2 linked regions of the Drosophila melanogaster genome follow. The protein of the gene in region 1 interacts with the protein of each later gene in a pairwise test. Each region holds a gene or a part of one and is shown on either strand. Other genes may lie near its edges.

The links. Proteins that work in one complex are often made in the same cells at the same time.
Region 2: the proteins of Asph (region 1) and Pex5 interact in a two-hybrid assay, tested with the Drosophila melanogaster proteins (one large-scale study listed by BioGRID).

Annotation. Positions count from the first base shown.
Region 1 is NT_033778.4:16,108,609-16,116,372, forward strand, and holds the start of Asph (aspartyl beta-hydroxylase), read left to right. Parts: upstream 1-1,722; 5' UTR 1,723-2,011; coding exon 2,012-2,063; intron 2,064-2,892; coding exon of another isoform or gene 2,893-2,946; intron 2,947-3,132; coding exon 3,133-3,318; intron 3,319-3,374; coding exon 3,375-3,533; intron 3,534-3,587; coding exon of another isoform or gene 3,588-3,593; coding exon 3,594-3,922; intron 3,923-3,980; coding exon 3,981-4,106; intron 4,107-4,180; coding exon 4,181-4,361; intron 4,362-4,572; coding exon 4,573-4,650; intron 4,651-5,167; coding exon 5,168-5,275; intron 5,276-5,426; coding exon 5,427-5,864; coding exon of another isoform or gene 5,865-5,875; exon of another isoform or gene 5,876-6,025; intron 6,026-6,163; coding exon 6,164-6,258; intron 6,259-6,331; coding exon of another isoform or gene 6,332-6,346; exon of another isoform or gene 6,347-6,745; coding exon 6,746-6,986; intron 6,987-7,044; coding exon 7,045-7,150; exon of another isoform or gene 7,151-7,154; intron 7,155-7,202; coding exon 7,203-7,764. Other genes in the region: Ric (Ras-related protein interacting with calmodulin), read right to left, coding at 149-666, 764-820, 1,019-1,238.
Region 2 is NC_004354.4:1,866,309-1,870,652, forward strand, and holds Pex5 (peroxin 5), read right to left. Parts: upstream 2,617-4,344; coding exon 2,479-2,616; exon of another isoform or gene 2,407-2,478; coding exon 700-2,406; 3' UTR 524-699; downstream 1-523. Other genes in the region: MED18 (mediator complex subunit 18), read left to right, coding at 1-187, 255-496; CG14803 (uncharacterized protein), read left to right, coding at 2,615-2,934, 2,990-3,570, 3,636-4,344.

The DNA.
Region 1 (7,764 bases):
ACAATTAGTTATCTGCTCCTCGATCGGTTAATTTCTCTTTTGTATGTTGTATCTGATGGGTATGTGCTATATACAAAATATAGCAAACAAAAGTTACTTGGTTTTTGTGGTTAATATTGCACTCATTTCAAGGAATCCGCCTCCTGGTCTAGTTAAGGTTTCGTCTGCGCCGGAAAACCAATGCGAAAATGGATCGGATGCGCCACCAGCGACTTCGTCGCCCCGTGTGAATCTTTTCCGAATTGGAGTCCGTGCCCAGGGCCTTGTGCATTTCCTTGCGTCGAATCTCGCGGACCAACGTGTAGAATGCCTCGTCGATGTAATGACGCAGTGCAGCCGATGTCTCAAAAAACGGGCAGCCGAACTGGTTGGCGAGATTCCGGCCCTCCTCGGTGGTCACGCGTCGCTGCGACTCCAGGTCCACCTTGTTGGCAATCAGAACCAGCGGAATGTCCTCGGACAGGCGGACACGGGTTATTAGTTTCCTGTACTCGGAGGCCTCCTGGAAGCTGTGGCGGTCGGTGACCGAGTAGCATATGATGAAACCTTCGCCGCAACGCATGTATTGGTCCCGCATGGCCGTGAACTCCACCTGGCCGGCGGTGTCAAGGATGTCGAGCAGGGCGGCCTCATTGTCGATGACCGCCTGTTGCTGGTAGGAGTCCTCTGCAGCAGCAAAAAAGAAAAAAAAAACCGGTATACATTTAGTGGGGTTGTGGGGGCTTGTGCCTTAGACGCCTTGCGCACCCTGCGCCTTACTCACCAATTGTGGGGTCGTGGTAGTCCAGGAAACTGTGGCTCACGAACTGAAGGGTGACAGCTGTTCGGGTTTCGTCGTCGTTTTCAGAGGGCGTTGGGAGTGGTGGTTGGTGGAGTTTCGTGGGTGTCGGTGGTACGGGGGTCAAAACAAAGCGTAAAAGAAATTGAGATAATTTATTGATTTTTCGCAGCCCCAATCAAAGTGCGCAGTGATAACTCGGCATTTTCTTTCGTCTAATCCATGGCTAGAATAGCTCACCTGACTTGCCAACGCCACCGTCGCCCAGGATGACAATCTTATAGACCCGCAGACCGCCGCGCATATTCTGCGGCGGCACCGGAGGCGGCTTGATCAGGCTCCCGTTGTCCCTGTGGTCGCTGGGCACCCGCATCGAGTCCGTGTCGGCGGCGCTGGTGCAGGACCTCAGCTTGCTGGATCGCTTCAGGGCCGCACAGCCGATGGACATGTCGCCGGCCATAATACCGCTGACCTCGCGGATTTAGACCTGGTCCGTGTCGGTCCTAGTCCCGTTCGATCGGATCACACGGAGAACCTCTGCACCGCCGTCGCCAATTGTGTATTATTTTCTTGTTTTTTTTTTTCTTGGTCGGGGTTGGTTCCCTTCGAGATGGGCGCGTGACGATACTGGAGACTGCAGTGCGCATGAATTTTAATGACATGCGATATTTAAAAAAAAGCTAATTTTTTTAATTTAAATTATTTACTTGTATTTAATACTTTGAGCACTTTACATTTTAAATCAAATAAATCAATTTGTTCTGTTGTATGGATAGCGCATAGACATAAAATATGAAAAATCCACGAGTAACAGAAAAAATTACATTTGGGTTTTCTAAACGTTTGCGTTGCTGAACTGTTAAAATTAAATTCAATCTATCGACACAACACGATTTAAAATAAAACATAATTATTAGAATTAAATAAATGTATAAATATTTATGCGTAAATATAGTTTTTGAGAGCTGTCATGAGTTTTCCATCCAGAATAATAAAATTGAAATAGCGGTGCCTTTACTGCCCAGCTGTCATCTCTAGCTTTCATCATTCCCGCCGGATCTGGCAACGCCACTGTCTCTTTATAAATAATTTTCCCACGGTGCGAGCGGTATTTGCATTTAGTAACGTGCTGTTCGTCGATCCAGATCGCCCGTTTTGCCCGGTCCGCTCGAAAAGGAAAAACAAACACTCTCCATTATATTGGCATAGGTTTTAGTGCCTTTAGCGAGCAAAATGTCGGGCGATGTGCAGCCGCGTAAGCGCAAGGATAAGCGCCGAAAACGCGGTAAGTCCCTGTTACGGTACTTTTACTTACAATCATACTCGAATGGACCGTTATTTGGTGTGAAAAACGGTTTTGTCTTTTCGCCGCCGCCGCGTAGCAAGCAGTTCATTTCTTTTATTAGCATAATAATATTGTCGAGTGCCTTTAAAAATAACTTTGCCCTATTATATAAAATTATACATCTCGCCTGTTTTCTGTCGCTATGCGTGTGCCGATCGAGCAGGAAAATATATATGCATGACATGTGTGCGGGCGAGGAAGGCGGGAGGTAGACCATAAAGTGGGTATTTCGATCGGTAGCCAAAGAAAAAGGGCATTGAATCGGTGTGCAAAAATCGAGAAAAATCAGAGAGAGTGGTTTTCCCTGATTTATTTATCTTTTTCCCAAGGCAAACAGATGTTTCGTTGTCCCTGGGGTATCCTCTTATTGCTATCTCTCTCTGCCACTTTTTCTCTCTATTGCTCTCTTCTCTGCGTTATCTTTATCTCATTGGAGAATGGAGAGCTCCGTCACCTTCTCGGCAAATTAATTCCAATGCAACAGAGATCGAGATTTACATACACAGATACTACAATAGATACCAGATAATGATGCTTCCGTAAAGATTCTGGGGCCATTACACCCACGGCACCGAAATAAGTAGCCACGATGGTGCATATATGTGTAAAGCCATTTAATTTCACTTGGCCAACTGCCCAAGAGCATGACTGGGCGGCTTCTTTGTTTATCGTTGCGCATATTTAGGCATAAACAATTCCCCCCAACCGGCGCCGTCTTATCAGCTTGTAATGCCGGTATATGTCTCATTGTAACTAACTTTTCGTCTAGATGATCGCAAGTCCGAGGGCGATGTGACTGTTCTGCGTCAGTCCAGTTTTCAAGGTAGAGAAATAGATACCCCCCTATATGTATTTTTCCCAACACACCCCGGAATGCTTTGCCAAATTAATTGAATGTCTCGCTCAGTTACTAAAACCAAGTAAAACACTCGAAGGTGGATTCAATTAAACTGCTTGTAATCACATGTGTTTTTTTATTATTCACTATCATGCAAATGTCGGATCTCAGATGACGACGAATCTTCGCACGGCGTTCACATTACAAAGATGGGAAACGAAGATCTCCACCTGCATGTGCACCACGATCACGGAACTGGCGGTCACTGGTGCGCCAAGATTATATTCTTCGCCCTGATGGCAGTGCTCCTCGGTTTGGTGGGTCTGATCATCATGGAGAATCGCGGACTGGAGGATCGTAAGTTATAGAATTCTTAGAAATTTGAATTGTACTGAATACCTGTTTTATTTTAGTGGACACTCCTCTGTCGGAGTCTAGGTTCTCGAAAGTTTTTGATGGCTGGGTGGACGAACATCGAGATGAGCATGATGGTCACGATGTGCAGGAACCCTCGGGAGAGGCGTTAGATGATCACGATGAACACGACGACCATGATGATCATGAAGACGAAGGTATGTTAATATTAACTTAATATAAATTCTTTTAAATATATGAACACTTTTTAGACGAAGAGCCCCTCACAGAAGAGTTAGAAGAAGAACTGGAGGAAGAGGAAGAGCCAACTGAGGAGGATGAGCCAGCGGCAGATGAAGAATATGAGGAGGATGAAGATGAGGAGAACAATGCGGGTGAAAACATAACTGCCGAGGATGCGGAGGAGGAGGAAGAGGAGGAGGATAACGATGATGAAGGCACCGTAGAGGCAACTGTAGAAGCTACCACTGAAGCCACTACGGAAGCCACTGGCGAATATGAAGCTGAAGAAGATGATGAGGACGAAGCAGCAGCAGATGATGATGCAGTAGAGTCCACTGAAGCGCCGCTCTCGAAAGCTGAGGAGGTATGATCCTTAGTTTGTGAAAAGATTGAATATTTCCAAAAATTAATTAATTTCGCAGCAGGAAGATGATGAGGATGAGGATGAGGAAGAGCAAGAGATCGAAGAATCAGTAGAGCCGGAAAGATCCCAATATGCGGCACAAAGTGCTCCCGCCAAAGATAATAATGACGACGACGATGATGATGTTAGTAAAATATCTAATTGCTTGTTGGTTTAAATGGTTTTCTTATTTGTTGCTAAATAACTTTCTTATTGCAGGATCAAGACAAAAACGATGCAGATGATGGGGATGACGACGAATTTGAGTCCCTGGCTCAGCAATTCGAAAATGATCCCGAGGATACAGTGCCAGCAAAAGCTGTAGAGAGTGAGGAGCAGGATCAAGACCAGGCTGATGAGGAGGAGCCCAAGGAAGAGGGCTCCTCTTGGTTGGCATCACGTAAGTAGCGAAGGAATGAATAGTTGAACGGTTAACGGATCTCGCAGGCTTAGAACCATAAGAACTGACCGACTGAAATATGCTCCACCTTACCAAAACTGAAAGAATATGCACAACCACACACAACCAAGAACTTAGAAACCGAAATTGTACAAGAAAGTGCAAAAGGCATTTGTTTGTTTTCTCATACTAAAACCTGACTCATTTACAGTTGCCGTTAAATTTGGCGTTGGCGTTGCACTTGCCTTAGTTTCACGCCTTGTATTGATAAGGAAAAGTCCAAATACAAGTGAGTCTTCAATGCTGATCTGCTCCCCCGAATCTCCGCTCTTTGTATTCCGCTCTCTGCTCTTGATCTCTATCAATCATATCCGACAAGCACGCCAAATGTTATGCTAATCAAATAAACCATACTCCGGGGAAACTTTTCAGTAACTATTACTAAGCGCCGCTTTTCGTTCTAACCCACCAAGCGATTGGTAAAATCAGCAAATGACCTCATTGTCTCGTGATTTATTCTCGTTGTATTAACAAAACTAAAAACAAACTCTGGGCAATGACTTCTCTTTTTGGTTTCATTAGAATGAGAACTCATTGGCCCTGTCTAAATTTTGCACTTTCTTCAGTTAGCTTATTTTGATTATGATTTTATATTATTTCTTGAATCTGATTGTAGTCACAGCTTTGTTCCAATTATTATTCGACCAATGTATGTATGTACGGAAATTGTTGAATGGCTTTGTTCTTGCTCGATTAATAATCCCTTAACTCGAATAACGTTCGAATCTTCCGTGGTGAATGCATAGCTGAGGATGAGCCCGCACCAGAGACTATATTCAGGCGAAGATTGACGATTGCCACTGCTGAGGATCACATACCGGATGATGTGGAGGAGCTGCCCCCTTTGGACGATGGTTGGAGATATGAATTATTAATTGCAAACTTCGGCTAGCCGAAGTTGCTTCCAAATCATTTGATTGACAAGTGATCTGGAAGCCTATGCTGTATGATATGCCTGGCCAAGTCCAGAGTATTAACTTCAGTCGTATCCCATTGTCTTAAAAGAATATTCCGAGGAAGAAATCGAAATCGAAGAGGAAATCGAGGTGGAAATCAGTGATATTGAGGAGGAGGAGGAGGAAGTACGTCACGATAACGACGACAACGTGGCCTCCATGGCCAGTTATGTGCCCGAGACATTTGAGCAACTGAGCGCCATGTACAAATACGCCCAGGAGCCTACGAAGGATGCCAAACCCGAACAGAAAGAAAAGGAGCCGGAAAAGCCAGTAGGTCACAGCGATATCTACGTGGAATACGAAGATGGTGCTATCGAGGATTACGAGCATGACGGAGTTAGCGATGAGGAGATCACCGACGAGGAGGACGAAATCTCCGACGTGGACGACGCCGATCTGATGAACCGGCTGGAAGCGAAATACGGTCGTCTGCCCGTCAAGGAGTTTGAGAGCGATCCGGACTCTGACGACCCCAGCTGGACACGTAATTACTAAACGCACAAATCACCACGTCTGTCGATGACCACCCGACTCCATTCTCCATCCAACATATATTCGATCGATCACATAAGCTATCGTAATCATAGGCCCAACACTACTTTAAGACACACGACCAAAAACCGATCGCTTTACACATAACAGATCGTAAGTGTTAGCCATAGGATATACAAACTGACACCTCACACAAGGTGGAGCTATCTAGGCCGTAACCGTTCAAAATTTCACTTCATTTTTTTTGTTGAAAACAATTTGTTCTAATTCAGATTCTTAATCTCTAAATAGAAATAAAGCCGAAAGAAGCTGCACCTGCTCCCGCAGAGAAAGAGGATCCTTTCGAGCAAGAGTTGCGCAAGGCAAACGAGGAGATGATTAGGGAGGTATGTCGCAACCAAAAGGTGTCTCCTTCACCTGGATTAACCCGTGAACTATATATCTTCGATATATCTCTAGCTCAACAATCACTAAAGAACATCACAACAAAAAAACAAAAAACACAATCTCATTTCAAAGCTTTAGTTTATGTTTGCTTGTCAAGTTCATTAGATCATATAACAGCTTAGTCATGTAAGAACAAAAAAGGATAATTAATCAAATGATAGGATTTAACCTTATTCATGTATTTATAGAAACGCTCATTTCAAGAGACCCATATATGATTGGGATGAACCCACGACCAGTTACTCCAAGAACTACACACCCACTTGGAGTAAACTTTGATCGCGGGCTCATCCTTGGAACTCCTTTCAACAGCGTTTCAATTCTTGAGAGAATGATTTTATACTAATTGCATGCTTTCGTATTTTGTCTAACCATTTTTTTTTTGTGTTTTGGCTGGCGAATCGCGAACTAATATCCACCCCAAAGAACTATGCCCAAGCCCTGCGTTCCTTTAACACGCTCACCACCAACTTTGCCCACGAGCCATCGGCCCATTTGGGAAGAGCTCGACTTCTGGAACTACTGGCCAAAAAGGAGCGCAGCAATCAGCGCCTGTGGGAAGCCATCGATGCTTACAAAAGATATTTGGCCTTTGGCGAGCTTGTAGCCAGCAATCAGGAATTTCAAACCGCCGGCGAAAGCTGCATCGAGAATTTGAGATTTTTGGGTAAGTTAACATAATCTGTTAATCTGTTTCACTTTCTACATTGCCTATTGAATTCTAGGTCACCACCGACAGGCAACTACCATCCATGAGCTGCTCATCAATCGTTTGCCTGAGGATCCACGGCTTCGTAACCAACTATCACTCACCTATCTTATGGTAAACAAGTAGGTAAGATAGGCTACTTTGAGCTACAAATACTTTATGATTGTCTCCCAGTCTTCAGCAGGTTGAAAAGGTGGCTGTGGAGACCCTGAAACTTTGGCCCAACAATGCAGTGGCTCAACTTCATTATGGACTAGCACTCAGACAGTTCCATGCTGATTACGCCAAGGCGCTGCCTTATCTAAAATATGCCGTGGAGTCTGGAGAGGAGGGCACGCAAGAGGCTTTCTTCTATTTGTCGCTGGGCGAGACCATGCAGCGCCTGTCCATGAAATCAGAAGCTCTTGAGGTGTACGGTAAAGGTGTTGCCAAAGGATTCTTTGCCAGCCTCTATCAGAGATCGCTGTACAATGAGCCCAGGTTGAGAGCACAGCCATTTTGGCAGCCCAAGGAAACGGGCTATGAAAGGCAGCTGGAGAAGCTGACGCTCAATTGGCGTGCCATTCGCGATGAAGGACTAGCACTGCTGGGAAGAAGTGGATTCTTCGAGGATGAAGCGGAACTGCTGCGCGACAAAGGAGTGTGGCAACAGTATGAGCTATATGCCCAGGGTCGTCGGGTGAAGGACAACTGCCGCAGGGCCCCAATCACCTGTAGCCTGCTGGAGGAATTTCCC
Region 2 (4,344 bases), on another chromosome or scaffold:
CTTCTTCGCGTGCGCCGAGCCCTTGGTCGCGATGCACCCTTTCAGATGCGCTACCTAGGAAACCCCGAGGTGGATCTGCGCCGGCCTACATTGGTACGCAGCTGCATGGACTGCGCCTGCACCAATGGCATTTTGGAATTCCTCACGGAAATGGGCTTCCGCCTGGAGTTCGAGTACATAGCAAAGGGTTGGAATCATGAAATATATTACGCTTGGGTTGCCAAAATGGATAGTGACAAATGGACTTATTTCAGGCTATATGTTCCGCAAGGGGCGCATGAAGATTACCGTCTCCAAGCTCATTAAGATTGTGCCCGGCAAGCAGCAGGACATGGCCAACGAGCCAATCTCACAAAGCTACATAGTGGAACTCTCTGTGGTGGCGCCAACGGGGCAGGAGAATGTCGGCGAGGAAATGCGCGTGTTTGCCGAGCAACTAAAGCCACTCGTGCAGCTCGAGAAGATCGACTACAAGCGACTGGGCGGCATGCCGTAGTTTACAATAAAAGTGCACATCGCATTTATCCAACAGTTATTTAATTTCTTAAATGTAAGAAAATATACAAATTTACAGAAAAGAACCGAGAGGGAATGATTACACTGCCAGAGTAAAAAATATCTCAAATTCAACCTTACACACCCACATGACACGACAACAACGGACTTTCCCAAAGCAGTGATAAAGAAGCTGCGGGGCGGTTAATCCTTAAAGGCCTCATTAAGAGCCGCCAGATTGCGATCGCTCACATAACTCTGGAGATCGCTGCGGCCCATCAGCGAAATGACCATCTTCAGCGTACTCCAAATAGACTCGGACATCTGGTTCTGTCCTCTAAAGGTAGCCGCCATCGCCGCATTGGGCAGCTCTCGGGCGGCGTTAGTGTGAGCCTGCATGGTAAGCGCTGTGAGTAAGTGCTCCACAGCTTCCTTGTAGGCCTTAAGGTTCATGCAACATACGCCCACGTTGTAACGCACACGGATGAAGCCCGGTTGGAGCTGCAGCGCCTGCTGATAAGCCTCCACCGCCTCCACGGAGCGCGAGCCGTTGGCCAAACTGGCCCCCAATCGGTTCCATGTCTTCGCATTTTGGGGATCCACCTGCAGAGCGGACTGGTAGCAGTCCACCGCCTTGTCGAACTCCCCAGATAGATTGTAGAGCACGCCGAGGGCATCCTGGACTTCGGCATCCACCTCCGAAGGGTGCTGTCGAACGGCTTCCAAGTAGATCTGCTGCAGATCGCGCAGCTTACTCGGACCAATCAGCGACGAAGCCAACGAAGTGCCCTCGGCCTGCAGCTCCGGATGGGCTGCGACCAGGTGCTGATACTTGGGATGCACTGTCAGCCAGTTGCACAGCATGCGCACGGCGTTGTTCTGCAGGCCCTCGTTGGTGTAGCACGCGGCCAGGGCCATCAGGACCTGTTGGTTGTCCGGTTGCAAGTCGTAAGCCCGCTTAAGTGCCGCAATGGCCTGGGGATCCATTTCGTTCTCTGTCTGCGAAGTGCCCAGCAACTGCCAGACCTCAGCGCGCTCCGGTTGCTTTTTGGCCGCCACCTCGAAACATAGAACTGCGCTGGGTATATCCCCTTTGGACAGGTACTCCTTACCCTTTTCAAACGGGTTCTCCACATCAGACATGGGGTTGCCCTCGGCGAACTCGTACTCCTTATAAGCGTCCATATTGTCGTTGTACTCCGACAGCCACGGATGCTCGTTCTCGTCGGCCAGCTTCTGCCACTCGTCTTGCAGCCGCTCCCAGAACTTTTCGTTGAAGTTGGCGGCGGTTTGCTCTTTTTGTTCGGTGCTGCGCTGGTAGTCGCTGATCCAGTCGTCCAGCGATTCCCCCTGTGGCGCCTGTGGCAGATGATCTGTGATTATAGTTTCCATGGCGGAGTCAAAGAAGGGGTCCTGTTGCTGTCCTGCCGCAATGGGCATCAAAGGCTGACGCAATGGCGGCAGGGACCGAAAGTTCTGGCTACTGATCAGGGGCTCGTCGAAGAACTCCTGGGCATGCTGCAGGTCCTGCTGCTGTGCCTGCATGTGGATCATCTTGTTGGGCAGGGCGGGTGCCAGTCCGCGGGCAAAGTCCTGTCCCCACTGCTCCGCCTGCTGAGAGTGCATCTGCTGCTGCGGATTTCCGTGAATATTTATGTCCCGCATCTCCTGGAGCAGAGTGTCCATCTGAAATGACTGCGGTGGGGCAGTGACCTGTCCCAGGAACTCGTTGATCAACTGGTCCTCGGGACGAGCAGCGCGCTCGAAGTGTCGCTGCACATAGCCCTCATCCTTGTGGGCAACATCGCGGGTGAACTGTCCGCCCAGTTGCATGAGAGGATTAACTCCACCGCAGTCGCCCTCGACCAATGGGCGGAAAGACATGGTGTTCGAAGTGGAGATGCTACGTAACTGGGGCAACCAACGATAAGAAAAGGGGCCAAATCAGGTCCAAAACAAAAGTCCAAATGTCACAAAGATTACCTGTTTATCGGCCGTTATCGAAGCTATCGGCTTTGTGACAGTGTTGCACAGCGCTCTAATAATAATAAAATATATCGCCGCGCAAAATCTTATCCGCCAGAGAATTGGTTTCGAACGCCAAATCCCCGACTGCACCATGGACTACGACCTTTTTCAGTCGGATGACGAGGAGATCCTGGCTACCTTCATACAGGCGACACAGAAGCAGGAAACCCTGAGCGCGCAAATAGACGTGGACGATAGCGAAGAGGACCTAGTCGACGGTCTACACTTGCCCGAGTTCAACTGCAGTGGCCGAGACACTCTGAAGAGCCAACTGTGCGAGGGAGGCTTTCTGGGGAATGGCTACGCCCAATTGGATCCGCCCCGCTCTCGCCTGGATTATCTCTGTTTTGACTTTGCTCCGGCTCAATTAGCGGTTGGCGCGGTAAGAAACTACCTGTACGGCGAGGCCTGGTGAGTTTAGAGCTCCCCTGGCAGCTGCCAACAAGTACAACTCTTCCATTCTCAGTAAGAATGTGCAGAAGCTGTTAACCGTCGTGATGGGCCAGCAACACCTGCAGGCCACGGCCGCCTCTATGAACTCTGGTTGGTATAGAGTGCGCCAGCAGGTCACACACTTCTACCATCTGATGCTGCTCCTACGAGGCAATGAGCTGCTGCCTTCACATTTTCTTGATGGGTTTCGACAATTGCTCAACGATCAGCTGGATGCGGATACCTGGAAGGTTTTGTATTTTGCGGAGCACAACAAGGGAAACGACTGCCAGGCGCCGGCGTATCACCTGTATCACGGCGTACTGGAGTGGCGTTTTCTGGACCTGCATATACTGTACGCCTCTGGGAATGATCAAGCGTTCCTAGGGCAGCTGGAGCGCACACTCGACGATCTGATCGTTTGTGCTGGACATCACTACCGCAGCAAACATCGCTCGGAGCTCATCCATTCCTCGCCGTTCATGTGTCGCTGCAACAAGGAGCTGTGGCTGCTGCTGAAACGTCTTATTCCCAAATGGCTGGGAGAACGGGAGCTAGACTTTTGGACTCTATTCCACAAGGCCATGCAGAGGCACAAGTCACTCCACTTCCAGGGTGAGTGCACAAAGAAGCTAGACCGTGCGGCTTCCCCTCATCTTATAGTCGTTTTTCTTCTCGAGGTGAGAGCAATGCAATTTCTCTGGCATACCACGAACTCTATTCCTGGTTGAGGCTAGGACTGGCCCGCTTGGACGAATACAACAGTGAGGGTTGGTACCAGCCGGATCACTCGCCGCTCACTGCGGCACCAGAAAGCTTCCAAACTGCCAGTCTGCTTAAGCAATTTCTGGCGAGCCAGCCGGACGAACAGCAGCGGCGGGTCTACCTAATTCAACTCTCTCCCCTTCAACTGCAGCTGGGCAAGCCGGATACTGATGTCCTGTGCCAGCTGTGGGAGTACTTTCACCGATCCCTCAACTGCAATTTTAGTGTGGGAACTGAGCTAGATCAGCTGCCGCTTACCTGTTCCAATGGGTCGGCCTACGTCGATCGCTACAACAAACTGCTGTCTAAGTCGCATATAGAAGATTTGAATCTGAGCAGTTTCACCATGTACGCGTGGATGCTGGGCAAAACCTTGAAGCTTTTACCATCGCAGGGCAGAAGCAACCAACGTCAGAAACTACTCGGCCGCATATTCAGCAAGTTTAGTGCCGCGAAACTTTTGGCTCTGAATGAGCCTGGTATTCACCATGTGATCGAGCTGTTTCTGTGCCTGCTGCTCTGCCACGAAGATCTCAGCGAGTTGGCGCCCAAGCTGCGCGAAATGTTGCTCTGCCTGGCCCTGGAAAAACTGCCTCCGGTGCGAAGGATTCTCGTGGCCAAGGG